7 linked regions of the Macaca fascicularis genome follow. The protein of the gene in region 2 purifies or fractionates together with the protein of the main gene of each other region. This does not show direct contact. Links are inferred from orthologs where the notes say so. Each region holds a gene or a part of one and is shown on either strand. Other genes may lie near its edges.

The links.
Region 1: the proteins of PPP1CB (region 2) and RAI14 purify together in Homo sapiens (affinity purification with mass spectrometry; 3 studies listed by BioGRID and IntAct, with this or other methods). This does not show direct contact. The link is inferred for Macaca fascicularis from reciprocal best matches to the Homo sapiens genes PPP1CB and RAI14.
Region 3: the proteins of PPP1CB (region 2) and TRIOBP purify together in Homo sapiens (affinity purification with mass spectrometry; 3 studies listed by BioGRID and IntAct, with this or other methods). This does not show direct contact. The link is inferred for Macaca fascicularis from reciprocal best matches to the Homo sapiens genes PPP1CB and TRIOBP.
Region 4: the proteins of PPP1CB (region 2) and PPP1R12B purify together in Homo sapiens (affinity purification with mass spectrometry; 4 studies listed by BioGRID and IntAct, with this or other methods). This does not show direct contact. The link is inferred for Macaca fascicularis from reciprocal best matches to the Homo sapiens genes PPP1CB and PPP1R12B.
Region 5: the proteins of PPP1CB (region 2) and CCDC85C purify together in Homo sapiens (affinity purification with mass spectrometry; 3 studies listed by BioGRID and IntAct, with this or other methods). This does not show direct contact. The link is inferred for Macaca fascicularis from reciprocal best matches to the Homo sapiens genes PPP1CB and CCDC85C.
Region 6: the proteins of PPP1CB (region 2) and CAPZB purify together in Homo sapiens (affinity purification with mass spectrometry; 3 studies listed by BioGRID and IntAct, with this or other methods). This does not show direct contact. The link is inferred for Macaca fascicularis from reciprocal best matches to the Homo sapiens genes PPP1CB and CAPZB.
Region 7: the proteins of PPP1CB (region 2) and GSK3B purify together in Homo sapiens (affinity purification with mass spectrometry; 3 studies listed by BioGRID and IntAct, with this or other methods). This does not show direct contact. The link is inferred for Macaca fascicularis from reciprocal best matches to the Homo sapiens genes PPP1CB and GSK3B.

The regions. Positions count from the first base shown.
Region 1 is NC_088380.1:35,050,762-35,055,018, reverse strand, and holds the start of RAI14 (ankycorbin), read right to left. Parts: upstream 2,801-4,257; 5' UTR 2,735-2,800; coding exon 2,681-2,734; intron 2,540-2,680; coding exon 2,409-2,539; coding exon of another isoform or gene 2,393-2,408; intron 1-2,392. UniProt on the Homo sapiens protein: Plays a role in actin regulation at the ectoplasmic specialization, a type of cell junction specific to testis. Important for establishment of sperm polarity and normal spermatid adhesion.
Region 2 is NC_088387.1:93,467,775-93,471,913, forward strand, and holds the start of PPP1CB (serine/threonine-protein phosphatase PP1-beta catalytic subunit), read right to left. Parts: upstream 2,801-4,139; 5' UTR 2,760-2,800; exon of another isoform or gene 2,723-2,759; intron 2,714-2,722; exon of another isoform or gene 2,506-2,713; 5' UTR 2,419-2,505; coding exon 2,367-2,418; intron 1-2,366. UniProt on the Homo sapiens protein: Protein phosphatase that associates with over 200 regulatory proteins to form highly specific holoenzymes which dephosphorylate hundreds of biological targets.
Region 3 is NC_088384.1:13,901,998-13,905,497, forward strand, and holds part of TRIOBP (TRIO and F-actin-binding protein), read right to left. Parts: exon of another isoform or gene 3,161-3,500; intron 2,782-3,160; coding exon 2,667-2,781; intron 1,671-2,666; coding exon 666-1,670; exon of another isoform or gene 641-665; intron 1-640.
Region 4 is NC_088375.1:60,186,559-60,190,058, forward strand, and holds part of PPP1R12B (protein phosphatase 1 regulatory subunit 12B), read left to right. Parts: intron 1-2,069; coding exon 2,070-2,273; intron 2,274-2,510; exon of another isoform or gene 2,511-3,500. UniProt on the Homo sapiens protein: Regulates myosin phosphatase activity. Augments Ca(2+) sensitivity of the contractile apparatus.
Region 5 is NC_088381.1:167,683,220-167,687,217, reverse strand, and holds the start of CCDC85C (coiled-coil domain-containing protein 85C), read left to right. Parts: upstream 1-1,198; 5' UTR 1,199-1,438; coding exon 1,439-2,237; intron 2,238-3,998. UniProt on the Homo sapiens protein: May play a role in cell-cell adhesion and epithelium development through its interaction with proteins of the beta-catenin family. May play an important role in cortical development, especially in the maintenance of radial glia.
Region 6 is NC_088375.1:215,599,076-215,603,250, reverse strand, and holds the start of CAPZB (F-actin-capping protein subunit beta), read right to left. Parts: upstream 2,801-4,175; 5' UTR 2,702-2,800; coding exon of another isoform or gene 2,699-2,701; intron 1-2,698. UniProt on the Homo sapiens protein: F-actin-capping proteins bind in a Ca(2+)-independent manner to the fast growing ends of actin filaments (barbed end) thereby blocking the exchange of subunits at these ends.
Region 7 is NC_088376.1:163,085,250-163,089,520, reverse strand, and holds the start of GSK3B (glycogen synthase kinase-3 beta), read right to left. Parts: upstream 2,801-4,271; 5' UTR 1,783-2,800; coding exon 1,695-1,782; intron 1-1,694. UniProt on the Homo sapiens protein: Constitutively active protein kinase that acts as a negative regulator in the hormonal control of glucose homeostasis, Wnt signaling and regulation of transcription factors and microtubules, by phosphorylating and inactivating glycogen synthase (GYS1 or GYS2), EIF2B, CTNNB1/beta-catenin, APC, AXIN1, DPYSL2/CRMP2, JUN, NFATC1/NFATC, MAPT/TAU and MACF1.

The sequences.
Region 1 (4,257 bases), on a different chromosome or scaffold from region 2:
GTGATTCGAATGCAGAAATGCAGAAGCGGCCAAGATTGTGAACCACTAATCTAGGATGAGCAGGGTAGGTGACTGGTTTTATCAAGGGCCCACTGTGGGCTGGGTGCTGTGCCACTCTTTATACAGAGCACCTACAGCTGAAGGTGCCCTTCCCAAATCCCCTTAGACCACTGGTCCCCAATCTTTTCGGCACCAGGGACCAGTTTTGTGAAAGACAGTTTTTCCACAGACCAAGTATGGGGGATGGTTTTGGGATGATTCAAGTGTATTACATTTATTGTGTATTTTATTTCTATTATTATTACATTTTAATATATAATGAAATAATTATACAACTTGCTGTAATGTAGAATCTGTGGGAGCCCTGAGCTTTTTTTTCTGGAACTAGACGGTTCCATCTGGGGGTAATAGGAGACACTGACAGATCATCAAACATTAGATTCTCATAAAGAGCTCGCAACCTAGATCCCTGGCATGTGCAGTTCACAATAGGGTTTGTGCTCCAGTGAGAATCTAATGCTGCCGCTGATCTGACAGGAGGCGGAGCTCAGATGGTAATGCGAGCAGTGGGGAGTGGCTGTAAACACAGAGGAAGGTTATGCTTGCACAACCACTGCTCATCTCCCGCTGTGAGCAGTACTGGTCCCATCTGTGGCCTGGGGGTTGGGGACCCCTTAGACTTTTTCTGGCCATGACCATGGTGTCCCTTAGAGTAGCACTCAATTTTTTCTTTTCTTTTTTTCCTTTTGATACAGAATCTTGCTCTGTTGCCCAGGCTGGAGTGCAGTAGCGCAATCTCAGCTCACTGCAACCTACGCCTCCTAGGTTCAAGTGATTATCCTGCCTCAGCCTCCCAAGTAGCTGGGATTATAGATGTCTGCACCACACCTGGCTAATTTTTCTATTTTTAGTAGAGACAGGGCTTCACTCTTTTGGCTAGGCTGGTCTCAAACTCCTGACCTCAAGTGATTCCACCCGCCTCAGCCTCCCAAAGTGCTGGGATTACAGGCGGGAGCCACTGTACCCGGTCAGCGCTCAACCTTTGAGGGAGAGGAGATAAGGGATAGGTACCCTAGGTTCCTCACACCTTGGGTGGAAAAACTCTGAAGCATACTATAAACCTGGGATAAGGAAACCCTTTTTGTAAAAGGCTAGATAAATACTCTGGGCTTTGTGAGCCATGTAGTCTCTGCTATAACTACTCAACTCTGCCTTTGTAGTGTGGGAGCAGTCATGGACAATGCCTAAATGAATGGGTGTGGCTGTGTTCCAGTAAAACTTTATTTATAAAATCAGACAGTAGCCAGGCATGGTAGCACATGCCTGTAGTCCCAGTTACTTGGGAGACTGCGACAGGAGGATTGCTTGGGCCCAGGAGTTCAAGTCTAGCTTGGGCAACATAGCCAAACCCTGCTCTAGGTCTAAACAGATTCCCAGAATCCTCTTCAAGAAAGAGTGACAAAGTTGGAACCTGTCAATAACACACCTTAAAAATACAGGTTTCTTCCTTTCTCATGCTTCCTGGGATCAATGGCTACAGAAATTACTTGCATTGTATGTATGTATACATCCCTAAATAATATATACTACTGCTTTGTGTGTTTCACAGTAATTACACAATAACCGTCATTTGACATGTTAAAAAAAAGATATGAAACTACTTGCACTTAAATCCTTGTCTCAGAGCCTGCTTCTGAGGGCATCCAACCTACATTATTATTTCATTTTATACTCATAACTACTCTAACAGTTAACTAATACCGTCTCCATTTTAGAGTAAGGAAACTGAGGTTCAAGGATTACACAAGTCATAAGTGATAGAGTTCTTGTGAGACGTCTATCTGGCTCCAAAGTCAGTGCTCTCTCCACAACACTGCCAACGTCAGAGTGGATATAAACAAATACATGCACATGCACAAACACACACAAATACTAATCAAGTGTGTAGCTTTAATTACGGCAAGCAAGAGTACTACACACAGCAAACCACAAAGCAAAATCATACTACTCACGTACTTACTGATCTATGCTAAGGAAGATCAAATAAATAAACAAGTAGTTTAAGATAAATAAACAGTAAGGTTTGAGGGTCATAGGAAAATACTTTTTTCTCTTTTATGCTATTTCTTATCGAAGACAGAATTCATGTCTCACCTACAACTGGTTGCAATCTTGGGAGGTAAAACCTTTGCTAATACCTGGAAACATGTATACCCATTCGAGGTAAAGCTCCATGTGTGACTTGGAATTTGGAGAGAAAGGAACTAGATTAAAATATCTTCTCACATATTTCAATATGGGAGTGGAGCGGGAGCACATGTGAAATTCCCCTGCGGATACTAAGGATTCCAGAGAACATCCCCAAAAACCCATAACTGGCATATCTGCAAACCAGTGTTTCAGCTTACGCGGTCTTGCCCTCGCTGTCGTGTTTGGTGGCGCTGGCCCCCTTCTTGCCGAGCAATGAGGCCACCTTCTCCGCATCTCCATTCTCCACGGCCTGCAGCAGTCTGTCATCATTCTTGTTCCACTCATTGGTCTATAGAGAAAGAGAAGAAACAGAGGTTGTGAACAACATTGACCACAGCTGCACTGACCAGCAGGGCTGCGGTCCTCGCAGCCCCCACCCTCCCATCACTCAAATCAAAACCTGCTCCCAAAGGAGCATGTTTTAAAATACCTTCCCCTTCACCATGGAGACACCCAAGAAGGCCGCTTTCCCAAAAGAAAACATAAATAGTGCAATGAAATCACAGCTAGTCACCAAAGTCTGAGATAAAAGTTACTTCTTTTAACTAACACTAGGAATATGAAGCAACTTAAAAAGACCTCAAGGCCGGTTTACACATTAGCTAATTTCCAGCTGAACTAGACAGCTGCTCCTCAGCACATTGGCCTTTGACCTCATCCACAGCTCACTCTGTTCACCGTGTTACAGAACCAAACCAGCAGCTCAAGGTTACCCGAGGTTTACAGACACACGATTTTTCATCAGCTTTTATTGCCTTCTTTCTGGTCTGTTTACTAGGCCCTGAATTTTCAGCTGGATACTGATTTTAAGTAGTTGTCCAGGCTACCGACTCAACAAAGTCTCACCAGAAACAAAACTTCTTCCTGAGCAAGCTATTAAACATCAAAGAGCTTTGAGCAAAGCCTCAATCACTGTCAATGCCAAACCCCAACTGAATAATTCTGCAAACCACAGTAACAGTAAGGCACTCATATATGCAAAACTGGTTTCTACACTTAGGAGGGAAAGAGATGATTTCTATACAAGAGCAAATGGGCCCTCAATATAAGACTAAGAAAGACTTTAATAAAAGGCAGCAGTGAGCCATTGGAGGTTTGGGAGCAGAGGAGGGAGAGAATTATAGAACCAGTGACGGAAGAGTCATTGGGAGGTGTCGAAGCACATGGGATTAATGAGGGAGAGAGGGGGAGGAAGGAAAGATGCTGGGCACATCAAAGCCCCTGGGCACTTTGCGAGCCCGGGCTGATTTCCAGTCATCTCCTGCACCAGGCCCCTGAGCTAAGCCCACTTTCTGAGCCCTTCAGCTGTGGACACCACATCCTGAGAGAGACTCCTTTTCCCTTCCCAAAGCTTTCTATAGACTCTGCTTCCTTGCGGCCTCTGAAGATATGAACCTCCAGGTATTTCGTATTAATGGCTTTACGATGGACCCCTACAAGGAAGCAGACAGAGGAGATAATGAAGATTCAAAAGCAAAAAAGAAGAAATTTTATAGGATGACAGTCTTCCATGGCCCCGGGAGTATGTTCCCAATCTCTGTACTGATGGAAATGAGGAAACTCAACAGGTCTTTGTCCATCAAATGTCTCAGTCACCCTCCCAACCCTAGCCCATATGTACAGCCTTAAACAAAGCCACAAGCCAGGGAGGGATAAAAGAGATGTGTCCAGAATTTGCATCTCTGAACATCTCAGGACTGAACCATTCCCAGTTTTTAGGACTCCGTCCTCCCCCACAGCCAACACTGAGTGCAAATGCACAGTAAGAACGAAGCAGGTTTGAACAAAAATCAGCAGCTTGTTCTCTGGGCTGCGTGAACTTGAAGTCCAGAAGTCCGGATTGACACATGTTGTGTGATCTGATGTCACCCATAAATCGTTCTGTGCCTCAGTTTCCCCAGGCTTTGGACTGTACGTCCTCTGTGATTCCGCCAAAGCTCAAAATTCTTATTACATAAAATTCCCCAAATTCTGCTAGGGATGATTCTAGAACAGTACTGTCTACCA
Region 2 (4,139 bases):
TAGCACTGTCAAACTAAATATGCTTCTGTAGGATGAAGAAGTACTGAAATCTACTGATAGAATGTGTGCTGAACACAGGACAGAGAGAAGGCTGAAAAAGCCTGAAAGCCACTTGTTTAGACTCGGAGCTCCTTGAGTGAAGAGACTGTGTCTTGTTTTAGGATTGCTGGTGCCTGGCAAGGAGGAGGTCAACATGTTAACGCTTGCTAAATTGAGAGAAATGTGTCTGGACTACAATTCTTACCCCCGCCCCCCAAAAAGGAAAAAAGATTGTACAAAACCAAATACTTAATTTGAATTCACAAAAACAAATTGAATCACTTAGACTATTTTTCCCCCAATGTCTTTTCCAGTAACCTTGCACAACCCACTCGTGAAGTTTAAGTACCTGTAATCATAAAAAGGTGCATCTAATTTAAAAGGATACAAACATTTTAAAACATAAATCTGTTTTATGCCTATAAAATAGATGGAAAATGAAATAAAATATAAAGTTGAGATACAAACATATTTTTAAAATATTTAAATTTACAAGCAAAGTTTAAAATATATAAAATTGGGTCCGGCGCGATGGCTCACGCCGGTAATCCCAGCACTTTGGGAGGCTGAGGCGGGTGGATCACGAGGTCAAGAGTTCAAGACCAGCCTGGCCAAGATGGTGAAACCTCCGTCTCTACAAAAATACAAAAAAAAAATTAGCCGGGCATGATGGCGGAGTGCCTGTAATCCCAGCTACTCGGGAGGCTGAGGCGGAAGAATCGCTCAAACCCGGGAGGCGGAGGTTGCAGTGAGCCGAGACCGTGCCATTGCACTCCAGCCTGGGAGACACAGTGAGACTCCGTGGGGGGAGGGGGGGGGAGAGTAGGCCTCTACTTTCCCAAATGTAAACAAGACATATACATTTTTAAATTAACTGTATTTCTCTCATAGAACAGTTACAAAATACAATTTTTCTTCAAAGCAAATTTCTCAAATACCCAGCAAGACGTTCACATCTGAAACAAAGTCTTAGGTAGTGAACACTGACTGCAGGCACCAGGGGGCCTCCCAGGAATAACTTGATAGTAAAGGAAAAGGTAAATAAGAGTTCCTGGTAAAACTTTTGCTTCCTATTCAGTCTTAAGACTGCTGGATGGCTTTCACTTCTGGAGCAAATATACAGTATTTAGTTACAGAACGGCTACACACAGAACTTGGGTTTTAGATACCGACACATTCGTTGAAAAAAACGAGTTACCCCTCCCCCATTAAAATATTCTTTGATGATTTTCCAAATATAAGTACATGTTGCTTTACTGTAGCAAACAATTATCTTAAGGTAATTTGAAAGCAAACAGTACATATGCAATCCTTCGATGGCGGCTAACAAAGAGGCCTCTAAATTGTTTAAAAGGGATTAATGGCTTTTCTACACACTCACAAAACAATTAGTGATGACGAACATTTTAGGGTAGAAGGACTGTTTGGCATTTAACTTTGAATAATATCCTGCAATGAATCAATACATTTAACTCCTGGCTTTCCCCCCCCTTGCCTTCCCACCAACATAAAACTATTCGATAAGAACACCAGGGCCCGGAAAGTTCAAATGCTGCGTAGACTTGCAAATACCTTTCGAACACAAGACAGGCTTTAAAAATAGATCTTCACTAAGTTGTGCAGAAATTAAGCTCTGCTCAAATCAAACGCAAAAGCCAACATCTACATACATCACATTTCTTACGTGCATCTTCAACCTGATCAAATATTTTGTCTTACAATTTTTTTAGGCCGAATAACAAATGGTAGATAAATTCCCGCTAATTTTATCCTCTCTAAGAAGAATCCATTCTATGGCATCGTGTAAAAATGCAGAGCAGACGAAGCATTCCTGTTACGGACAGGTTTTTATATATATACATAAAATTCACTCGCGGAACGACAATCGGAGGCAGCCAAGGGCAATGCACAAAGAGAGAAGAAACACTGATTCCACGGACACACAAAGCCCGGTGGCAGGCATCCTCTCCCCCTCCTCGGAGGAGTCACCGGAGGCGAGCACGACGGCGCGCGGAGCCCGGCGGCCTTTCCGAAAGGCTGTCTCCCGCAGACCCGCTCCGCACAGCTGCCGGCCGGCGGGCCTGGCCACCAAGGGTCCGCGGGGACGGCCCCCTCTCCCCCGATTTCCCCTGACCGCGCTCCCGGAGGCCGCTCCCCGGCGCCCAGCAGCCTCCTCGCCCCCTCCTCGGCTGGTCTGCCGCGCCGCGCTCCCAGAGACAGCCTCGGGGCGGGAAAGAGGTCCCCTCGCGTTTCGGCGGCGGAGGTGGACGCAGGGGTCGGCGGCGGCGCCCGACCTCCCTCCGTCCCACGGCCCGGCGCGCACTCACCCTCCAGCAGCCGGGTGATGAGGCTGTCCACGTTCAGCTCCCCGTCCGCCATCTTGTCGGCACAGACTCTCCTTCCCAGCAGCGGGAACAAGGGCTTCTCGGCGGCGGAGGCTGCGGCGACGGCTCGGCGTTCTCTCACCTACAAGTCACGCGGCGTTTCGACCCCGGCTCCAACTCCCCCTTTTCCCGGGCCCTCCCCCCACCCCCTCCCCGCTGGGTAGCGAGAGCGCGCGCACACTCGGAGGCACCCACGGAAAATAAATAAATAAACAAGAGGGGCCCCCACAAACAGGGCCGCGTCAGACCAAGGCCGCCACCTCCTCGTCCTCGGCACCGCCCAGCTCCGCAAAGCTCACCAGCGCCGCCGACGGCCCCACCCGCAGCGCCACTCACTCCGCACGTCCCTTGCGCGCCACCGCGTCACGCAGCTCTCCGCGCAGGCGCCCGGCGCGCTCCCCGCCGAGGTTCCCCTCGACGCCTGGGCCTCCGCGCAGCCGCACTGGAGCGGCTTCTGCCGCCGCCGTCTTCGCGCAGGTGCGTCGCCCTCTCTCTCTACGTCCACGGCGCCGAGTTTCGCCGCCGCGGCGCAGGCGCCAAGGAGGTGCCCGGCTTTGCCGCTCGGAGGAAGCCCCGGTTACGCAGAGCGGGCTGGGGCAGGGCTCACCTTCCTCCTCCTCTGCTTCACTGGCGCTTTCCAGACGTGGTGGTTGCACCCTTTTGGCCTCGCTTTCCTTTTCATGGCTTCATACCTTAGATCTGCAAGCAGTTCCTCGTGTTTCTTCCTAGCCGGGAAACGCGAACTGCAGCGTTTGGAACCCGGGTTTGCGCTTGTGAAAAGCAAGAAGGGGTTAACTCTGCTGGAGTTCGACATTGCAAATAAAGGTCTTTACCCCCAGTGGTTCTACAAAATTAGTTCCGCAGGGATTCTGTTTGAAAGAAGAGTTAAAGTGGGCCCTGTAGGAGTCAGCAATAATACAATTTTACATGGGTGCATATGGCTGCCTGTGTTTAGCGCTTTCACACATCTTGTATCTCCATCCACGCCGTGGGTATCTTTTTTTCCACAGTGTGTTTCTGTTGCTGCTTCCAGTATATTGCTTAATCATCCTACCTGGTAATTATTTATGCATTTTTCTCCCACTCTCGACTCAGCTCCTAGGGGATAAAAACACACTAACTTATCTTTGTGCCCACAGCACCCACCAAATATTTCCATCACGTAATACTGCTTCTAGAAAGGCAGGAGGAGAGGCAGTCACGCTAAGGATCTAGGCAAGCCAGATCTTTTGTCCTGTTTTAGGAGGTGGCCAACCCTTACTTATTCCACAGGTGTTTTTCCAGAAACTCAGATCTGATATTGCCCCAAGTCCAAGGCAGTACTTCCCCCACTCACATATCACTAATAGTAGCTAACATTTGTTCATATCCCTGTTATGTGCTGTGCCACTGTTTTAAATGTTACACCCGCGTTACCTCATTTAATCCTTATAACAGCCCTGTGAGGTAGGTACTATTATTATCTCTGCTTTGTAGATGGGATTTACCGAGGCACAGATGGTTAAAAAACCTAGCCCAAATCACACAAATAAGCAGCAGAGCTGGGATTCAAACCCAGGCATGTAGTGCTAGAGTCTGCATTCTTAACAATTGCGATATTCTCCCTCTCCGTGAATGTGGGCTGAGATGCTGAAACAGGCATGTGCTGTGGGGGAGAAGCAGCTTTGTCCAACCAAGTGCTTTCCAATGTCCAGATGACATAGAGCTAGGATTTCC
Region 3 (3,500 bases), on a different chromosome or scaffold from region 2:
CCCACTTTGCACACGAGCCTCATTTAAGCAGCCTGTTTTGGCAGCTAGCTGAACCCAGTGAGCATTGATGCACCCCCTTCTCTGTGTCTGAGAAGAGCTGTAGGGGCCAGAGAGGGTAAGCGAGGCTGTCCTGGACTCAGGAACCTGGGTATCACCAGGGGAAGGGGCATGACCACACTGGCTATAGTCCCAGGTGGGGTCAGGTGTGTGCCACCAGACACAACATAAACCAGGTATGGTGGAGCCAGGAGGGGAGCAGGCCCTGGCCAGAGCATCTTGCTTGAGGCCTCAGTGTGGTCTGCACTGAGCGGATCTGGGTTTCGCCCATGCCCCACCAGCAAGTGGCTTCACCCTGCGCGTCAGTTTCCTTATCTGCAAATAAATAGTGTATTTCTCACTTGGTTGCTAAGGAGACTAAATGGTAAAAGTACACATCAAACATTCAGATCAGGGCTTGGCCCATAAACACTTAAAACGGTGTTGCTCATCATCAGTATTGGGCCAGTTTGGTGGTCGGGATGGGTTGTGGTCAGCAGGGAGGCTGAGGTCTGAGCCTGGAGGGGGATGCAGGAGCTGAGGCTACTCAAAGGGGAGGCTTTTCCAAGGAGACTTGGCTGTGGGGGGCTGACTTTCTGGCTACCCTTGGGAGGGGGGAACCTCCTTACCTGCAGCTCTGACAAACTGGGGCCCTCTGCAGTGCTCCTGCTCCCCAGGGGGCCCGTCTGCTCTAGGCCTGCCAGAGTTACGGTCGCTGGTCCTCTTGTCACTTTGGTCTTTGGCCACTGGGTGGAGGTGCAGGCAGGGCTGGGCGGCTGGGCCAGGCTCTGGGGCCACGGTGCGGGGCTGTGTCCGTTGACTGGGGTGGCCTCGGCCCAGCCTTCTGGCTGACTGTGTGACTCCTGCTCGGGGACATCCTTTGTGCCTGGGGGACCCATCTCTGGCCCTGAAGCCCTGGCCAGGTCATCCCTATGTCCAGCTGGGTCCTTGCGGGGCAGCCTGGCCTGCAGGAGCTCCAAGAGGCCCTCCCAGTCCAGCCTGGGGAGACGGGCCCAGGCCCCCTCTCCTGGTGCCCGGAGAAGACCAAGCAGGTCCCTCCAGTCAAGCTCGGGTCGCCTCTCAGGGCCATGCGAGTATGGACACGCTCCCTCTGCCCCCCAGCCCACAGTAGTGGGTGTCTCAGGGCGCCTGGATTGTGAGGACTCTGTGGGGCCTCCCCAGTTCTCAGGGGGGCTTGTGAGTGCGCTTCTCTTCCCTAGTTCTCTGGGGGGCTCATGGGTGGCCGCCTCCTCCCAGGCCTCTGGCTGTCCCCAGCTCTCCCTGTACTCCCCAGGAGGGCCCCCCCATGCTCCCTCCAAGGCTTTGGCTGCCCCCAGGCCTCCCTCCTGGCTGCTCCAGCTCCTCTCCAGGTGTCTGTGAGGGCCCTTGGACCCTGGCGGTTCCTCCTGACTCTGCCACGCCCCCAGAGGCTGTCTTGGGCCTGCTTGGCCACTCTCCAGAGGTCTCTGTGTCTGCAGCTCCCTCTCAGGGGTCCTGGCTGATGTCCTGGGAGGTGGCGGGGACCCCTGGAGCCGCCGATCTCCCTCAGGTCTCTTCTCAGGACTCCGAGAATGAGGGGGCTCTGCTTGGCTCCGCCAGATCAGTTCTGCCTGTTTGGCAGGGCGCTTGGTCACCTGGGGATGAGGTAGGGAGGTGGGTGAGGCTCTCTCTCTGGGGACCTCGCTGTCGGCTCTGCCTTTCTTAGTCAGGCCCCCAGAGAGGCAAGGCTGTGCTCACACAGCAGCCTGGATGAAAGCAGGCCAAAAAGCACACAGGGTCCCTGCCCTCCTCCCCCGTCGGGGGTCAGCTCTTCCCTTTCACCCGCTTTCCTCGGTTCCAGAAAAAGATCTGCAAAGACCTGCTCCCATTCTTGGCTTCTCACCCCTCTCAAAGATACTGATTCCAACTTGGGCTATCAGGTGCCAGAACCTCCACCACCAATACCCCATTCCACTGCAGTGGGCCTGGCCCCCTGGGTTTTGTTAGAGATACAAATCACCCTGAAAGAGAGGGCCCTTAGAGCCAGATTCATGCATCAAGGCTTTCCCTGAAATCTGCTCAAGACAGCAGTATTGGCAGCAGTACTGGCCAGGTGCGGTGGCTCACGCCTGTAATCCCAGCACCTTGGGAGGCCGAGGTGGGTGGATCACCTGAGGTCAAGAGTGACCAGGCTGGCCAACATGGTGAAACCCTGTCTCTACTAAAAGTACAAAAATTAGCTGGGTGTGGTGGCACGCCCCTGTAATCCCAGCTACTCGGGAGGCTGAGGTAGAAGAATCTCTTGAACCCGGGAGGTGGAGGTTGCAGTGATCCAATATTGCCCCACTGCACTCCAGCCTGGGAGACAGAGCAAGACTCCATCTCAAAAAAAAAAAAAAAAGCAGTACTTAGTAAAGGAAGGGGATAGCATGGGACAGGGGCTGTCTTCCAAGGACTAATATGAGGTCTTGTGCAATTTGCCAAGAGCTTCTGGCCCTTGGGGAGAGGGGAGAGCTGGAGACCCATGATTGGACTCCGACCCTTTCATAGAGGACCTTCCTGTCCAAGCTCCCTGCCTGGCTTCTAGCAGGAGGGAAGAGGCAGTGGCCGCCCCTTGGGGTGTGGGGCCCCAGACAGCTGGCAGTGCTCACCTGCCTGCTGGGGGCAGGGCTGGACTGTCTTCGGAGAAGTTGGCTCTGGCCTTGGCTGGGCCGCTGTGACCGTCCCTCGTCCTGGGCCTGGAAGGCCCCCGCTGCCTCGGACTTCCTATGAGCAAATGCAGCCACTCCTCTGAGGGACTGTCCCACTCCCAGCACCCCAGTCCCTCTGCTCCCACCTCCAAAAGAAGATGTGGGAGAGCCAGGGACCCACTGCAAACTGGTTGAAGGGCCCTAAGTAAGGGTGACTCTCAGGGCCTCAGTTTCCCCTTCTGAAAAATGGGGGTAGTTAACACTGCTCTATTCTGCCTCATGAGGCTCTTGAGAAAATGACAAGAAAAATGGGGAGTAGAGGTGTTTGGGTGGGGAGGGGGATCTGGCCCTGACCATGGCTATCTTCTGTCTCATCCAGTACTACCTGTGACTAACCACCACCCCACCAGCAGCCCACTAGCCACCCCCAGACACAGGTTAGACTGGTCTTTGCAGGAATTAAGATTTATTGAGCACCTACTGTGTACCAGGCACCCGGCACACATAATCATAATGGCAAAGCATTTATTGAGCGCTTCTTACATTCCAGGGGCCAAGCGCTTGTATCATGATCTTGTTCCATCTCACACAGCCCACGAGGTGGGACGACAGAGCCAGACTGCTGTGTGCCCCCATGTTCCATTCTTTCTGCCCTTTTCCTGTCCATATTGTAAATTTTGGATTTCTTGAGGCTGGGCGCGGTGGCTCAAGCCTGTAATCCCAGCACTTTGGAGGCCGAGGCAGGCGGATCACAAGGTCAGGAGATCGAGACCATCCTGGCTAACACAGTGAAAC
Region 4 (3,500 bases), on a different chromosome or scaffold from region 2:
CTGGCTACTTATTTATCCCTAGAAGCATCATTGTGAATAATTAAAGAGGTTTCCAATAAATGTAATCTCACTCATTAATTCAGTCATTTAGGTGTACCTCATATACTGCCACTGCTTCTAAGGATGCCTGTCTGACTTCCTACTTTTTTCAATAGAAAAATACTAAATTAGACAGGTACAGTGGCTCACACTTATAATCTCAGCACTTTGGGAGACCAAGGTAGGCAAATCACTTGAACCCAGGAGTTTGAGACCAGCTTGGGCAACATGGGAAAACCCCATCTTTAAAAACAATAAAGCAATTAGCCAGACATGGTGGCATACACCTGTAGTCCCAGCAACTTGGGACTGGGAGGCTGAGGTGGGAGGATCACTTGAGCCCGGGAGGTCAAGGCTGTAGTGAGCTGTGATTGTGCCATTGCATTCCAGCGTGGGCAACAGAGTGAGACCCTGTCTCAAAAACAACAACAACAACAGCACCACCACCACCACCACCACCACCACACACACACACACACACACACACACACACACACACACACACACACAAAGATACTTATTCTACTTTGCTAAAATGATGCTGGGGAAGGCATTTTCCCCCTTAGAATCAGAGTAGCTTGTAAAAAGCTGACATTGAACCCCTAAAGCTGGAAGGAGTACATACATGTGTACATTCAGATGACTGATGAAAAGAGAAAATCTTATGTGAGTTGGAGATTAGTGATTAATAGTTTTATTTATTTTCACCGTATCAGGCAGTAAAGGTAGCCTTATATTGGAAGAAAGGCCTAAGTCTTCTTGAAAAGGTCTTGGACCTCAGGAAGGGTCTGTTGGCTTGTGTTCCAAAGACTAGTTGTACCCCAAACTGGTCCTTGGCCTAATACTGATCTATGATGTTTCCCTAGTTTATGGCAAAATGAGATAATTAAGGACAATGTAAGCTTTCCATAAAGCTTTCTTTTTTGATATTAACATTTCATTTTTAATGAAATGGTGGTGATGATGAGTTCAAAAAGAAAACATCTTTCAGAATGTTGTTTTCTTTTGGCAAAATTAAATTTAAAAGATAAAAAGATAGCAACCCTTTGACCTCTAGTTTTATGGGTTTTTTTTTTTTGGTTTTTTTTGGAGGCTGCTCAGTGAAATCTAAAGCTCTCTAAACTGCTACTCTAGATCAAATAAATTTCCTTGAAATTAGCAGAATTTAAGTGGAGTGGCTTCTAGAATTTTTATCAATGTTAACTTAAATCACTTTATCATAGTACCTTAAAATGTATTTATAAATTAGCCTGTTCCTGGCTGGACATGGGCTCATGCCTGTAATCACAGCACTTTGAGAGGCTGAGGTGTGAGGATTGCTCGAGTTTAGGACTTCGAGACCAGCCTGGGCAACATAGGGAGAACTTGTCTCTATTAAAATTTAGAGAAAATTAACCAGGCATGGTGGTATATGCTGGTAGTCCCAGCTACTTGGTGGGCTGAGGTGGGAGGATCGCTTGAGCCCAGGGGGTCAAGGCTACAGTGAGTTCTGATTAGGCCACCGCACTCCAGCCTGGGCGACAGAGTGAGACCCTACTTCAAAAAAAAAAAAAATAAAAGATAAATTAGCTGGTCTCATTTTTTCCAGTCTCCACATATTATAAGGGATTAAGCTCATTATCATCATTTTACAGGTGAGCATGTTGAGACCTAGAGAAGTAAAGTATCTTATTTTCAGTTCCACAGTGAGTTAGAAGAAGATACATTACTCGAATACAATCTCCTGGTGTTCCAGGTCAGTATTAATTGCACAAGGATAGCAAATGGTGTTTAATTTCTCATAACAACTCTGTCAGGTAGGAGCACTGTGTGAAGAATCCGAGGCTATTTTTGACTTAGGAAGAAAGAGCCTGGAGAGGTTATTAGTGTTTGCCGGGTGAGGGAGGGAACATTGGCAGAAAGACTGCCCTGTATTTGTTCTTAGCTACCTTATGTTGCCTCGCTGAACTTAGTTAAGTGTGGAAAAGGCAAATAGGCTGAAAAAGAATCATCAGAGCCTTTATTTTTCATTTCTTTTGCTTCTCTCGTAGTTCTCTTCTGGCCTTTTTAACAAGCCAGAAGAGCCCAAAGATGAATCTCCTTCTTCGTGGAGATTGGGACTGAGAAAAACTGGCAGCCACAACATGCTGAGTGAGGTGGCCAATTCCAGGGAACCTCTAAGGGACCGAGGCTCTTCCATCTACCGTTCCTCTTCAAGCCCTCGGATTTCTGCTCTACTAGACAACAAAGATAAGGTGCAGTTTGGGAGGGTATGGGGGAATTCCAATGCAGTTTTTTTTTTCCATGAAAATTCAATCTTAGGAACAAATGAAAATATTTTCTAGTCCTTAAGTTGATTTTGGAAATGCAAAGCCTTTAAAGGGAGACAGGCACACTGATAGTTTAATCAAGTAGCTATTTGCTTGCTATTATTTACTTGGCCAAAAAAAAAAAAAACTTTAAAAATAGCTTTTCCTTTTGGTTCGTTCAGTCTTCCTTGCCCCCTTACCTAAAGCAAAAAATAGATCAGAAACATAAAAATTTCAATATGGCGGAGGGGGGCACAGGACCGCAGGCAGGGGTCCTGGAGCCAGAGGGCCAATTCCTATCCCCTCAGCAGCATGGCATCGTGTGCTGAACCCTCTGAGCCCTCTGCCCCCGCCTCCTGCCAGGGTCCCACTGCTCGAGGACTTCGAGGTGCTGGATGGGGTCGAGAATGCAGAGGGCAAGGAGGGAGAGGAGGAGGAAGATGACCTTAGAGAGCTGCCACTGCTGGAGGACATGGGACAGCCCCTGGTGGAAGAGACTGAACAGCCCGGGACCTTGGCCCGAGAGTTCCTCACTGCCATGGAGCCTGAGCCTGCCCCGTCCCCGGCCCCAGAAGAGTGGCCAGACATAACCAGCTGTTGAGGAAGAAGACGCTTGTCCCAGGGCCACCGGATTTGAGCTGCTCAGTCAAGGGCCAGGTGGTCACCATGCATTTGCAGACATCACAAGAGAATGGCATGTGGGTGCAGGAGGAGCCGGAGCTAGTGTTCACCCTGAGCGTCTGTGAGGTCATCCAGGCCCTGGATCTCAGTGTCTAACTCATGGACGTGGGGGAGGCAGCCATGGTCACTGCTGACTGCATGTACTGCTACAGCCCCCAGGACAGGAGCCCATACATCCCCCGCACGCGGCCCTATGCCTGGAGGTGACCCCGAAGATGGCCGTGGACTGGCCTGACCTGGAGATGCTCATAGGGCAGGAGCGCGTGGCCTTGGCCAACCGGAAGTGGGAGTGCGGCAGTGCCCACTACCAGTGGGCGGACTTCGTCCTGGCCACCAACTCCTATGACCTTGCCATCAAGACCGTCACCTCCAGCGCCAAAGTGGACATGACGTTCGAGGAGGAGAAGCAGCTCCTGCAGTTGAGGGTGAGGTGTCTGAACAACCTGGTGGCCTCACAGGTGAAGCTCGACCACTACTGCGCAGCCCTGCGCT
Region 5 (3,998 bases), on a different chromosome or scaffold from region 2:
CGCGGGTTTGATCTCGTTGCAGGTTCCGGGGGAGGGACACCCCTCCACCCCGCCTGCCGGCGGTAGACGCGCCGTAAATGCGCTTTGGAGACCGGAGGATAACGAGACAGACTTACAGGCAGTGGGAAGGACGGGGGTCCCGCGAGGGCCGCCGGTGGGCAGTTCTGTGGCCGGCTCGGCGCCCCCGGACCCCGGCGTTCAGGACCCTGTGGGAGACCTTCCCACCTTCCCAGTGGTTTCCACCCCGCGAATTGCAGATTATCTCCCGAATCCCAGGGACTTAGCGGTCGAGTGGGCGGAGGGGGAGCGTGGCTCCGAGCGCCACTCCGGGCTGGGGGCAGGTTCCCGGCGCTCTCGCCCCATCGGGGCAGAGAGTACCGACCACGCTGCGGGACGCGGCTGGCAAGGCCCTGGCCCTGCCGGGGCCCTAGCCCCGGTCTAGGAGTGGAGACGCAGCCCTGCTGCGCGCTCCGGCAGGAGACCCGGGTGGGGACGGGGGCGGAGGAGCCTGGGGGCAGGGAAGGGGACAAAGAGCCGCCCTGCCGTGGGGAAGAGCGACCCCCATGTCACAGTCCTATTGTTCGCTGAGTCTCCGACTGCCCTGAACTCTGGTGCCCCCGGGAGGGAGAAGGGGCGCCGTCGCCCAGATCGTGGGTATTTGTTTATCTGGGGAGAGGGAGGAGGGCGGGGGACGCGGGCCGGGGAGGGGGCTCGACTGCTATTTCTGCGCGTCGCCTTTAAGGGAAGCCCGGCCCTACCTTTCCCACCGTCCCCCTCCCCGCAGTCGTACCTGCATTTTAAAAGCGCCCTGTAGCCCTGGGATTGGCCAAGGCCGCGTCCTCTGGGCGCAGAAACTTGAACCGCCGGGAGCCGGCTGCGGGCGGGGGTCGGAAACCCCGCGGATGGACCGTACCACCCCCGCGGCTCCCCCCACGCGTGCCCCGCCCCTCCCGCACACCCCCGGAGCGGCCCAATCGCACGGCCGGGAGGGCGGGACCGCGGCCGGAACGCGCCTCTGAGAGGGCACCGGCCGGGCGGGCGCACCGCGCAGGGGGACGGCGGGGGCCGCGCCTCTGCTCCCCCGTCGCCCTCGGGGGCGGGGCCGGGCCTCGGAGCCCCGCCCACTCTCCGCCCGGGGTGGGCGGGGCGGCGGGGGCTCCCGGAGCTGGGCCGGGGGCGGGCCTCCGCCTGCCTCGCCAGAGCCCTGAGAGCGCCCGGCTCCGCGGCCGCCGACGCAGCAGCCGCCTCCGCTCGTCAGCCCCGAGGCGCGCGGGCTCCCGGGCAGCCCCGGCGGGCGCGGCGAGAGGGCGCGCAAGGCTGCAGGGCGGGCCGCACGCGCCCCCGGCCGCCCCCCGCCCGCGCGCGGACCGGCCCAGCGGAGCCCCGGCGCGGGGAAGCGCAGGCCGGGCGAGGGCGATGCCGCGGTGACGGCCCCGCCATGGCGAAGCCCGCAGCGACGGCGGCGGCGGCGTCGGAGGAGCTGAGCCAGGTGCCGGACGAGGAGCTGCTCCGCTGGAGCAAGGAGGAGCTGGCGCGGCGGCTGCGGCGCGCGGAGGGCGAGAAGGTGGGCCTCATGCTGGAGCACGGCGGCCTGATGCGCGACGTGAACCGGCGGCTGCAGCAGCACCTGCTGGAGATCCGCGGCCTCAAGGACGTGAACCAGCGACTGCAGGACGACAACCAGGAGCTGCGCGAGCTCTGCTGCTTCCTCGACGACGACCGGCAGAAGGGGCGCAAGCTGGCGCGCGAGTGGCAGCGCTTCGGGCGCCACGCGGCCGGCGCCGTGTGGCACGAGGTGGCCCGCTCGCAGCAGAAACTGCGCGAGCTCGAGGCGCGCCAGGAGGCCCTGCTGCGCGAGAACCTGGAGCTCAAGGAGCTGGTGCTGCTGCTGGACGAGGAGCGCGCGGCACTGGCGGCGACGGGGGGCTCAGGCGGCGGCGGCGGCGGCGGCGGCGGGGGCGGCGCCGGCTCCCGCAGCTCCATCGACAGCCAGGCCAGCCTGAGCGGGCCGCTGGCGGGTGGCGCGCCCGGCGCGGGGGCCCGCGACGTGGGCGACGGCAGCAGTACGTCCAGCGCGGGCAGCGGCGGCAGCCCGGACCACCACCACCATGTCCCACCCCCGCTGCTGCCCCCTGGGCCGCACAAGGCCCCCGAAGGCAAGGCAGGAGCAACACGTCGGTCCCTGGACGACCTGTCGGCGCCGCCGCACCACCGCAGCATCCCCAACGGTCTGCACGGTAAGGACTACACGGGCCGGGCAGCGCGGGTCTCCCTGGCTGCAGCCCCTTACCCAGGCTGCGGCGAGAGGAGGTGGTCCCTGGCGGTCCCACTCGTGCGGCCGCCACTCCAGACTCCTCCTCCAGCTGTCATGGATCCTGGACCAGGGGATCCCGCACTCACCCGAAGTAGGGCTTTGGGCGGTTGTGGGCCGGTCCAGTCGTGGAGCGTCTTTCTGTTCAGCTCAGAACCTGCTGCCGGTCCGGTCGCAGGAAAGTTTCTAGTGGGTGTAGTTGCCAAAATTGGCGTCTGTCACTGCTGGGCTGGCGGTGGGCGCCTCATCCCAGCCTTGGAAATCCTTGCCTAGTAGCGGGAAGTTCTGAACAGAAAAGAATACAAGGCCTCTTTGAGCGCAGGTGAATTTCCCCTCTTGCAGCAACAGGTGTCCTCCAAGCCAAGCAGTGTCCACGTGTGTGCAGTGGCTGGAGTTCTGCAGTAGGGTGCGGGGATTGGAAGGGTGCACAGGCAGCTGCTTGACACCCAGGGGCAGCTGGGAAGAGGCCTGGGGCTCAGAGCCTTTCTGGTTTGCCATAAATTCCGCCCTTCTAGTCCCGGGACCTTTCTCAGCCGAGACTCTAAGACTTTCCCGAGGGAGATGTATTTGGAACGGATTCTAGTTTTTCTCCTCTGTCTATCTCCGTTTCTTTGTCTGTAAAATGGAGATGATGACCTCTGCCTCGTGGATTTGAGGTGGAGATAAACTGTCTGAAGGGATTTATAAACTGTTGGTCGCCTTATAGGAAGTGCCATGGTCATCCGTGACCAGGGTGTGGGTGGGTGGACCTTTGGCCTCTGTCAGCGCCTGTCTTCCACGCCCATATTACTGCTGCGCCCAGTGCAGAGGGTGGCCCCAGCTTGGGGCTGTGGGAGCCTGCAGGCTGCTCCCTCTCCCAGCCTCCTGCTCAGCCCTTCTGCTCCCTGCCGGCTTTCTCGTCCCTGCCGGTGGATCCAGGGCCTCCTTGTTCTTACACGTTTTTTGGTTGCTTGGCTTCCAGTTCTGCTGGTAGTTACAACTGCCTGAACTTTTTGCCTGAAGGTGGAGAATGAACAGCCCTTTCTGGTTGCCTTTAAAGCCTTTCCTAATTCAGAGAAAGTGTGTCTAGGCCTGAAATCACTGCCCTCCCCAGGACCCCTCAGCCTGAGGTGGGGAGGGACGTTTGCTCCTTGGTTTGGTGGCCAAGTGGCCTCTGCAGGCGTGATGGGGTGGGGGCTGGGGTGGGAGACATATCCATGGAGGTGGGGCGGGGGCAGTGCAGCATATTTTTCCTTTATTTACCATCCTGAGCCTGTGGGTTCAAGGTAGGACTGACTGGGTTTAGAGGGATATTTTGTTACTGATTAGCAATCTATGGCTACAACTCAGGTTTCTCTTTGTAACACTGTATCCACCCCCCACCTCCCACCACAGGCTGCTTGAGGGCAGTGAGAGTAGTGCAAAGTTAGGTGATTTAATTCATTTTGGGGCTGTTTAGAGTACCTCAACCCCTTTGACTTCGCGGTCCTGGGGGGCTTTTGAAGGGTCAGTTATCTGGGCCTCGGTTTCCCCAAGGGCAGTACAAAGGAGCAGACTGCTGCAGTCTCGTGGCTGGAAAATGAAATGTTTCTGGTTTTCAGCTGCGTCATCAATGACACTTGGCGAGAGTGCCTCTCTGCAGGACACTGGAGGGCTGGAGTGTTTAGAGCATACTTGCAGGAAAGTCTCTGTCATGTTTTGGGCAAAG
Region 6 (4,175 bases), on a different chromosome or scaffold from region 2:
TAGCTGTATTCTTTACCATCGAATCTACTGAAAATGAAAAACACGGTGATCTGATTTCATTTCCCTTCAATGCAACCTCACACCACCACTTCTGTCCTACCCCAACCATCTACACTGGCTTAATGGTCAGAGTATTCAAATAGGGGATAAACCTAACAATAAGCAGTCAGAAATTACAAGCCTAAGGGATACGAAGAACAAGTGACTGAGAGAATGAATATGAAATCCAAGCAGGTAAGTTCATGGACACAGACACATCCCAAAGAGAACATTCCAAGTGGTTTCTTCCAATGCCAGGTGCTGTTCTAGGCCCCACGGATACAGCTGTGGAATACACAAGACAAAAATCTCTGCCCTCCAAGAGCTCATTCTGGCCCATGCTAAATATGCCTGTACCACCATACAGCTCTTTCGCTATAACATGATTTTCTATACAAAGGATTTAAAATACAAACCATGGGCAATAAATACTGCTCCTCCCCCCTTGCCATGTTTGAATATCCCATTCTATGTTTTTCAAACGGTGTCATTAAACCTCCTGACATATAAGCAGCTTGGTACAATGGGAATAACAGTTTAGAGGCTGCCAGATGGGCTTCTACTGACCAACGGTGGTTCCTCCACTGGCTGGGCAATACCTTGAATAAGTCACTGCACCTCCTGAGCCTCAGCTGCCTCATCTATCAAATGCGGACAGCCCCAGAAGGGCTTCGTGTGGATGAAACCAGCTTGTACAGGTGAAGCACACCACAGTGACTGGCAGACAGACAGTTCCTCCACCCTTTCCAGTCTTTTCAGATGACAGCTGAGTGCAAGACTCCTGAGAAGCTTCAGGTGTCATGTGCTCCTCCTGGGGGACTGGGGCACTTTCCCATCACCTGGGGAGCATCACCGCTTCCTGCCGCATACTTTGTCTTCAGTGCACACTCAGTAACGAAACTTCAGCCCACTTTCAAAGTCCTCACCCAACACTGCCCTGGAGAAGTCGTGCTCCACCCAGACCTGGGGTCAAAACAAGGCCTCCCCAAACAAGGAGTTTTCAGCCAACGTCACTGGAGAAATCCGAAGGCCTTAAAAGTGGCATTGCCCCTGTTTTTAATCAGCATACAGGAAGGTATCAAAAGAAAGCTTAACTCATCTCAACTCCTCACCCTCGTTCAGCAGCAACATCCCTTGACTAAACAAGGAACCAGGGTCCTCAAAACACTTTGAGGCCCAAAGCCCACATACAAATATGCTCCAAAAATCCCTTGACCCTGTCAGGAAGTTCTCTGGCCCTTCCAACCTAAGTGCTGGGCCTGTCCTGCGGAATGATCAAGAGGTAGGAGTGCAGGTCTATCTGTGGGGGCCTATGTGAAGCCCCAGGTTCCTCAAAAGTCTGGATAGCATCTGCTTTCTTTACCAAATCAAACACTACGAGTGGAGCCAGCACTCTCCCTCGGAGTTCTGCTCACCTGATCCAAGGGACTTCCATAATCAGCAGTTCCCACCCTTACAAGCTGACAGTTCAGAGGGAAGGGGAGGCTGCGCCTGCTCGGGTGCATGGTGTCCAGGCCATATGCTGGATCCTGGGCCTGCTGGCCCCCCAAGGCCATGGCCTCACAAGGGCGATTGTGCGTTCATCCTTGTCCTGTGGGCCACCCACCCTCAGCCCTCAGCTCCCACTCAGGCCTGGGCGCCGCGGACCCCGGCCCGCCCTGCAGGACGCTTCGCAAGCACAGCACCCACGGCGGCGACCTCGAGAAGGGCCCGCAGCGCAGCGCGCTGCCTTCTGGGCACACCGATGCCCGCCTTTCCCTCGCTGGCTCCCAAGCGGCCTCCCTAGAAGGGGCAACTGAGAAGGCACAGCACCGGGACCACCCCATCCCTGCTGGAGAGTTCCCCTCGCTTCCCGAAGGCTGCAAAGAAGGCGCGCCCCAGGTAGAGGGAAGGGTACCCTGGGTCGTGCACGGGGCAGGGGGCAGAACCCTGATGAGAGGGTCAGGGCGGAGACCGAGCGGGGCTGACGCAGGTTACGCTAGGAGTGGCGAGAAGTCCAGGGAAGGGGATCACGGTGGGGAGGGGGCAGTGAGGTCCAGGCGGGGCCATGGGCGGAGGAGAGGAGGTCCAGATTTAAGATCACAGAGGGATGAGGAGATTCAGGCTGAGGCCACGGAGAAGAGGGGAAGCAAACCTAGACCGCTGCAGGAAGGGCTGACCGGGGTCCAGCCTGAGGCCATGGAGAAGGCAAGGGAGGGAGGGAGGCAGCGGCCTAGCCTGGGCCATGGCAGGGAGAAACGACGGCCTAGCCTGGGCGGGAGAGACGGGGGAAAGCAGACCTAGCCCTAGACCGGGGGAGGAAGGGGGCCCACGCCAGGGTCACCGCGGGGGGGGGGGTGCCTGGCTGGGGCCACGGTTCGGGAGGGAGGGTCTAGCCTGGGCTATGGGAGAGACCAGCCTGGACACAGAGGTGGTGAGTGGGACTCCAGCTTGTGCCAAGGGCGAGGGCTGGGAGCGGGGGCAGGGTCACTGCCACCCAAGTCGTCCGCGCCGGCGGCACCCTCCTGGGCGGGGAGGGACCGGGTCCACCCAGGGTCCGGGACCCCGCCCCTCCCCCACCCCGGGAAGCCACCAGTCCCGGGCCACGGATGGGCCGGGGGAGGGGGACGCGAGTTCCGGAGGGGCCCCCGGGCCGGGGAGGGGGCCGTGCGGCCTTTACCATGGTGGCGGCGGCGGCGGCGGTCCCGGTCCCGGCGTCAGTGGCTCTCCCCCCCGCAGCAGGGCCCGGCGCTTCCACTTCCCCGGGTGCCCAGGAGTGAACATCCGGGTCAGCGCCCCCCTCCCCCCGCGCCGGGCCGCCGCCACCTTCCTTCCCCGCCCCGGCCCGGCCCGGGCCCGCCCCCCACGCCGCCAGCTCGCGGCCAATGAGCGCGCGGGACTGCGGCGATCGCCAAGTATGGAGAGCGGCGCGGGAGGCGGGCGCCGACGGGGTGCGGGGGCGGGGTCTGCGCGGCGGGGCGGGGAGCGGCGCGGCTCGCCTGCCGGGGGTTCCGGGCCCGGGGTACGGGGCTCGGGCCGGAGGGGTGTCCGCGCTGTTGGAGGTCCAGTACCCGACTCTGGGCCTGCAGCAGCGGGTGTCGGCGAGGGAACCGCGCCCCACAGTCCCCGCGGGCGGGGATGCGGAAGGCACCGGGGCTGTGAGGCGACCTGCCGTCTGCGCCCCACCCCGTGCACGCGCTCACTCCTGCGGCGCACCCGGAACTGCCGCCGAGCGGAGCGCGGCCCGGCCCGGCCGGGCCCAGCCCAGCCCAGCCCATCCCAGTACGGGGCGAGCGCGCCGGGAGCTGGGCCGGAGCCCAGCGCTGCCGCTCGCTACGGCGGGACCTGGAGCGCCGCGCTGCACCTGAGCCCGGGCAGGAATTCAGGAGCCTCGGGCTGACACCATTTATTCAGCACCTACTATGTACCAGGCCTTGTTTAGGCACCGGAAGATAACAGATGAATAATAAGACATAAAGATCCCTGCACGTATAGCTGCAGACAGAATAGCTGTGAGGATGACACAGGTAGAGATTAGAAAATTAAGTTCAACAGGCCCGGCGCGGTGACTCACGCCTGCTATGGAGGCGAGGCACTTTGGGAGGCCGAGGTGGGCCAAGGCCAAGAGATGGAGACCATCCTGGCCAACGTGGTAAAACCCCGTTTCTACTACAAATACAAAAATTAGCTGGGCCTGGTGGTGCCGACCTGTAGCCCCAGCTACCCGGGAGGCTGAGGCAGGAGAATCGCTTGAACCCGGGGGACAGAGGTTGCAGTGAGTCGAAATCGCGCCACGGCACCCCAGCCTGGCGACAGAGCAAGACTCTGTATCAAAAAAACAGCACTTTGGGAGGCCGAGACCGGCGGATCACGAGGTCAGGAGATCGAGACCATCCTGGCTAACACGGTGAAACCCCGTCTCTACTAAAAAATACAAAAAACTAGCCGGGCGAAGTGGCGGGCGCCTGTAGTCCCAGCTACTCGGGAGGCTGAGGCAGGAGAATGGCTAAACCCGGGAGGCAGAGCTTGCAGTGAGCTGAGATCCGGCCACTGCACTCTAGCCTGGGTGACAGAGCGAGACTCGGTCTCAAAAAAAAAAAAAAAAAAAACAGAAAAGAAAAAGAAAATTAAGTTCAACAAATGCTAACTGTTATGAG
Region 7 (4,271 bases), on a different chromosome or scaffold from region 2:
AGGCTCTTAAGTAGTTATTATAAGATTTGTATCATCATAGCTGAAAATTACCCCGGAATTTTAAAATATTTTTCAAATGACTCCATGAAGCGCTTAGAAAGCACGACCCTTCCCTGAAAGATGCATAATCAGCTGTCCTCTTTTCCTACCCCGGCATTCTCTACTTGCAAACCACCGGGGGAAAAAAAAAATTAACTTTGAAAAATAATCTCCCATTCAGCTATTACCTAGACTACCCTGTTTCAGGCTAGTTCCCAAAGCCAACACGAAATGAAATCTTGAGTTCAACTAAAAGTGATCATTTTATGTTGCCTAAGAATATAATCAATTTCACATAACATACATGTTTTTTGTGTGTGTCAGTTCTTAAAATCTCAGTTTTTTAGTTCTCTTCGTTCTTCTAAGCAACACAGTAATTTCTTTGCCCTCATGATGACCCTCTTTCCCACAATAAGGAAACAACATAGATATTTTTGTTAAATTCTGAAAGTATGTTTAAACAAGCTGTCATTAAACACCACATGAACTTCTCCATAAATAGAGATACACTGGAACATTAGATACTTAGTATATACTAAACATTCAAAAGCATACTTCTCAGCACAAACCCAGGACAAGAGTAGTCTATCTACAACCCTGAACACAGTCCAAATATCCCTATTATTTGCAGGACCACAGCCATCTGCAAAAGCCAAAATGGAAAGGACTAAATCCACATTCTTCTAACTAAATCCACAGTTATCTAAATGTGATGGAAACTAACGCAAGAGTATTTTAAATCGTCCTTTTTAAGGAACCCCCCAGAACATTTAACAGGAGCGCAACAGTACTCCAAAATTGAACTTAAATGTAATGAGCCAGTGACAACATTTAACTTACTATTTGGCACTATGACAAAACAAATCTCAATCAAAACCTGGACCTATTAATACTTCCATGTTACCTTTTGATTAAATATAAATTATACGGTGGCAGGTTGGTAATGTCAAAACAGGAAGGTTAAGAGAGAACACATCAAACCACTAATCCAATCGAACACAAATGCATACAGAGATGCTACTGCTGCTGGGTATTTATTGGCTCCCACTAGTCCCTTCTAAAGAGAGAAATCAATGACAGCCTCCAAATGTGAATGGTTACTGAGCAAGTTCATCCACAGATTAAGAACAAATACTATGTGTAGTCATACAGACAAGAAAAAAATGTTGGGAGGGTGGGACGTTTAATGTCTCTATTAAGTATACCAAACTATGATAAATCCTGAGACCTAAAATACCCTCTTATTCCAAAAGACATACATTCTGCAAATGTGCACAATGGTTTATTAATCAAATCTTGTCCTTCTCTTTATTCTAAAGGATGGGCAAGTAAACACGGTCATCACTAACGTGGAAACACTCAAGCACTTGATGAAACTGACTACCAACAGCAAGAAAAGTATAAGAAAGCAGTTTCAAATCGAATCATCCAAATAAAAATCATATTATCTCAATTCAAGGTTAATGAGACCGGGGGAGGGGGTATGGGAGGAGTAAAGAGGGAGCTGCTTCATCCTTGACTGAAGATAGGTTTTGCCCTTTTCCATTGCTTGTTTGTTATATTAGGAAGTCTAATATTTTCAGATCCTGGTATTCCGAGATTTCTTATTTTAAGGGCGAAGTGGAAAAGGGGCGTAAAATAAAATCAATACTCACTGCTAACTTTCATGCTGCCAAAAGCTGAAGGCTGCTGCACCGGCTTGCAGCTCTCCGCAAAGGAGGTGGTTCTGGGCCGCCCTGACATGATCACTCTCTTCGCGAATCACCTTTTCCTTCCTTCCTCCTTTTCTTCCTTTTGTCTTTATGTTGGGGTGTTAGGTTAATGATAAATGCAGCATTAAGTTCTCCCACAGAAGAAAAAGAAAAAGACTTCGTCCTCTTGGTTTTTCACTCCTTTTGTATACTATAAAAAACAAAACAAGCGATGTATTTCTCCTTCAAGACAGATCGGCACGGATATTTAACATATAGATGATTTACGGCTGGGGAAAAAATACAATTCCTTCCCCTCCCTTTCCTGGGAGGAGAGAAAAGAAGGGGCAAATCCTAAAAAAATATGTATCACGTGAAACAGGGGCAAATACTTGATTGAAAATGAGTACTTCGAATATTATATTTTCCTCGGGGATTTTTTTTCCGAGTCAATGAAGAAGGGAAGCGGCGGAAGGATCACGAGTCTCACGCTTGAAGAGAAAGGGGGATGGGTAGGAGGGAGGGAGAGGGAGGGAGGGGGTGGCTCGGAGATGCGACGGGAAACGCTGCAGCTCCGGCAGCCGTGGGATCCGGCGGGCTGACGGCGGGGGCCCGGCGAACTGGAGGGCGGCGGAGTCGCGAGTCAGTCAGAGGCGGGCGGTGGCGGCGGCTCCTCTCCTCATTGCGCCAGGAGCAGCTGCAGGCGGCGGCTGGATCCAGCGGCCATGGCGGCGGCGGTGGCGGAGGCAGCTCCCTTCAGACCCCAGGCAGCGGCTCCTCGACTGCTCCCCATACGCCGGGGACATGGGAACCCGGCAACCGCTTCCGTCCCTCGGGGCCCCCTCCCCCGTCCGCGGCAACAGCTCGGCCGCCCTCCCGCCCCTCGCCTCTGTTCGGTGCCCGCTCAGGAAGTGTCCGCGCTTTGCCCCCAGCCCAGAACCCTGTCAGCGGCTGCGGGGCCGGCTCCTCCTCGCTTCCTTCCTTCCTTCCTTCCTTTGTCACTCGGCCCGGGCGGCGGCGGCAGCGGCGGCACAAGCCCGCATTCGCCCGGGTCAGGGGCTGCTCTGTGTGAGAAGCGCTGTCTGCGCAGCCGCCTTGCACTTCCCCACTCCCCCTCCCCCTTCCTACTCTTCCTCCACCTCCTTCCTCCCCCACCCAGCCTTACACCGCCCAGCGCACCGCCGCCCGCGTAACAGGCGTCTGGGAATCGCCGCCCGAGCCCCACTCTCGCCCGCTTCGGCTGGGAGCCGAAGCCCGAACGGAGCCAATCACGGACGTCGTTTGTTTGCGGCTCCTCCCGGAAAAAGCCGATCGGCCTGAGAAACCAATTAGAAAGTGACGCTGGAAAGCCACGCCCAAAGAGCGGAAAATGCCGAAGGCAGCCGAACGGAAAGGGTGATTTCGCCTGGTTCGGTGGCTGGCTGGAGGAGACATTCGACAATGGCAACAGTGGCCAATCAGAGTCGCCGGCCCTCACGAAAAAGCTTGAAGAGTTGAAGACGGTGAAACCCAGAGACGCTGGTGAAACTGCACGGTTGGGCGCCGCCGCCGCTTTGTAATTGGCTGGAAAACTCCGCTGGGAGCGTACCTCCCTCGGTGATTGGTGAAGGGAAGGGGGCTTCCGAGGACAGTTTGGCCAGTCAGGACTCCCCCTCCCTCTCCAAGGTGGGGAAAAGAAAGCGAAGGGAGGGCGTCTATAAAGCGCCGTCTCATTGGCCGGAAGCTTAGGCGCTGGAGTTGGGGCAAAAGGGAGAGGGTGGAGCTCGAAACTCGCGGCGGTGGCCAATCGGCTCTCACTGCCGTCCAATCGCAAGACCTAGCTGCGGTGTGATTGGCCTTCGGCCTTCGTCCCAGGACCTGGGAGATGCCCGACTAGGGTCGTGGCTGACGACCCGACGGCTCGCCTGCGGCCTCCAACTACGGTGGAAACCGCAAATAGGGACCGCCTGCCCTAGGCGCAGCAAATCGGAAAGTGCTGCGGTCGGCGGCGCTGGGTTCTAAGCGCTCAAGCGAGCAGAGGGGTCGAGGGGTTCTCCCCATCCACAGGAGGCTCTCGGCGGGGCGCAGCCAATTCTGCGCGCCTAAGGCTCTCCTCTGCCCTGGATCGCGTGTGCCGGGTGTCGGCCTCTTCCCCGAAAGGGCCTGACGGACAAAGGGGGCCTTCCCAGCCGGCAGCAAGCTCTCAGACGCTAAAATGGGAACAAAGCTTCTTTGGGCGGCCGCGCCCCGCCCAGCCTCGGGGGCCATTGATAGAGAGGCCCGCTGCGCTTGGTGTGCGCGGCCCGGCCGGGCCTCTGGAAACGCCCATGAGAAATGAGCTCATGCTGGATGCGCGCGCTCCTTGGGCGCAACTGCCCAGCGCAAAACGGGCCCCGAAAGCAGGTGAGGGGAAATGCCGTCAGGCCGGATATCCTGAAGCCTCCAAGGAAATGGGGGGTTAGAGGAGCCCGTGGTAGTTTTGGATCTTTTGGAATTAGGGTGATCTATAAAAGTGCAGCTTGAATAGATTTCATATGTAAGACCAGCGTCCATTGTTCTACG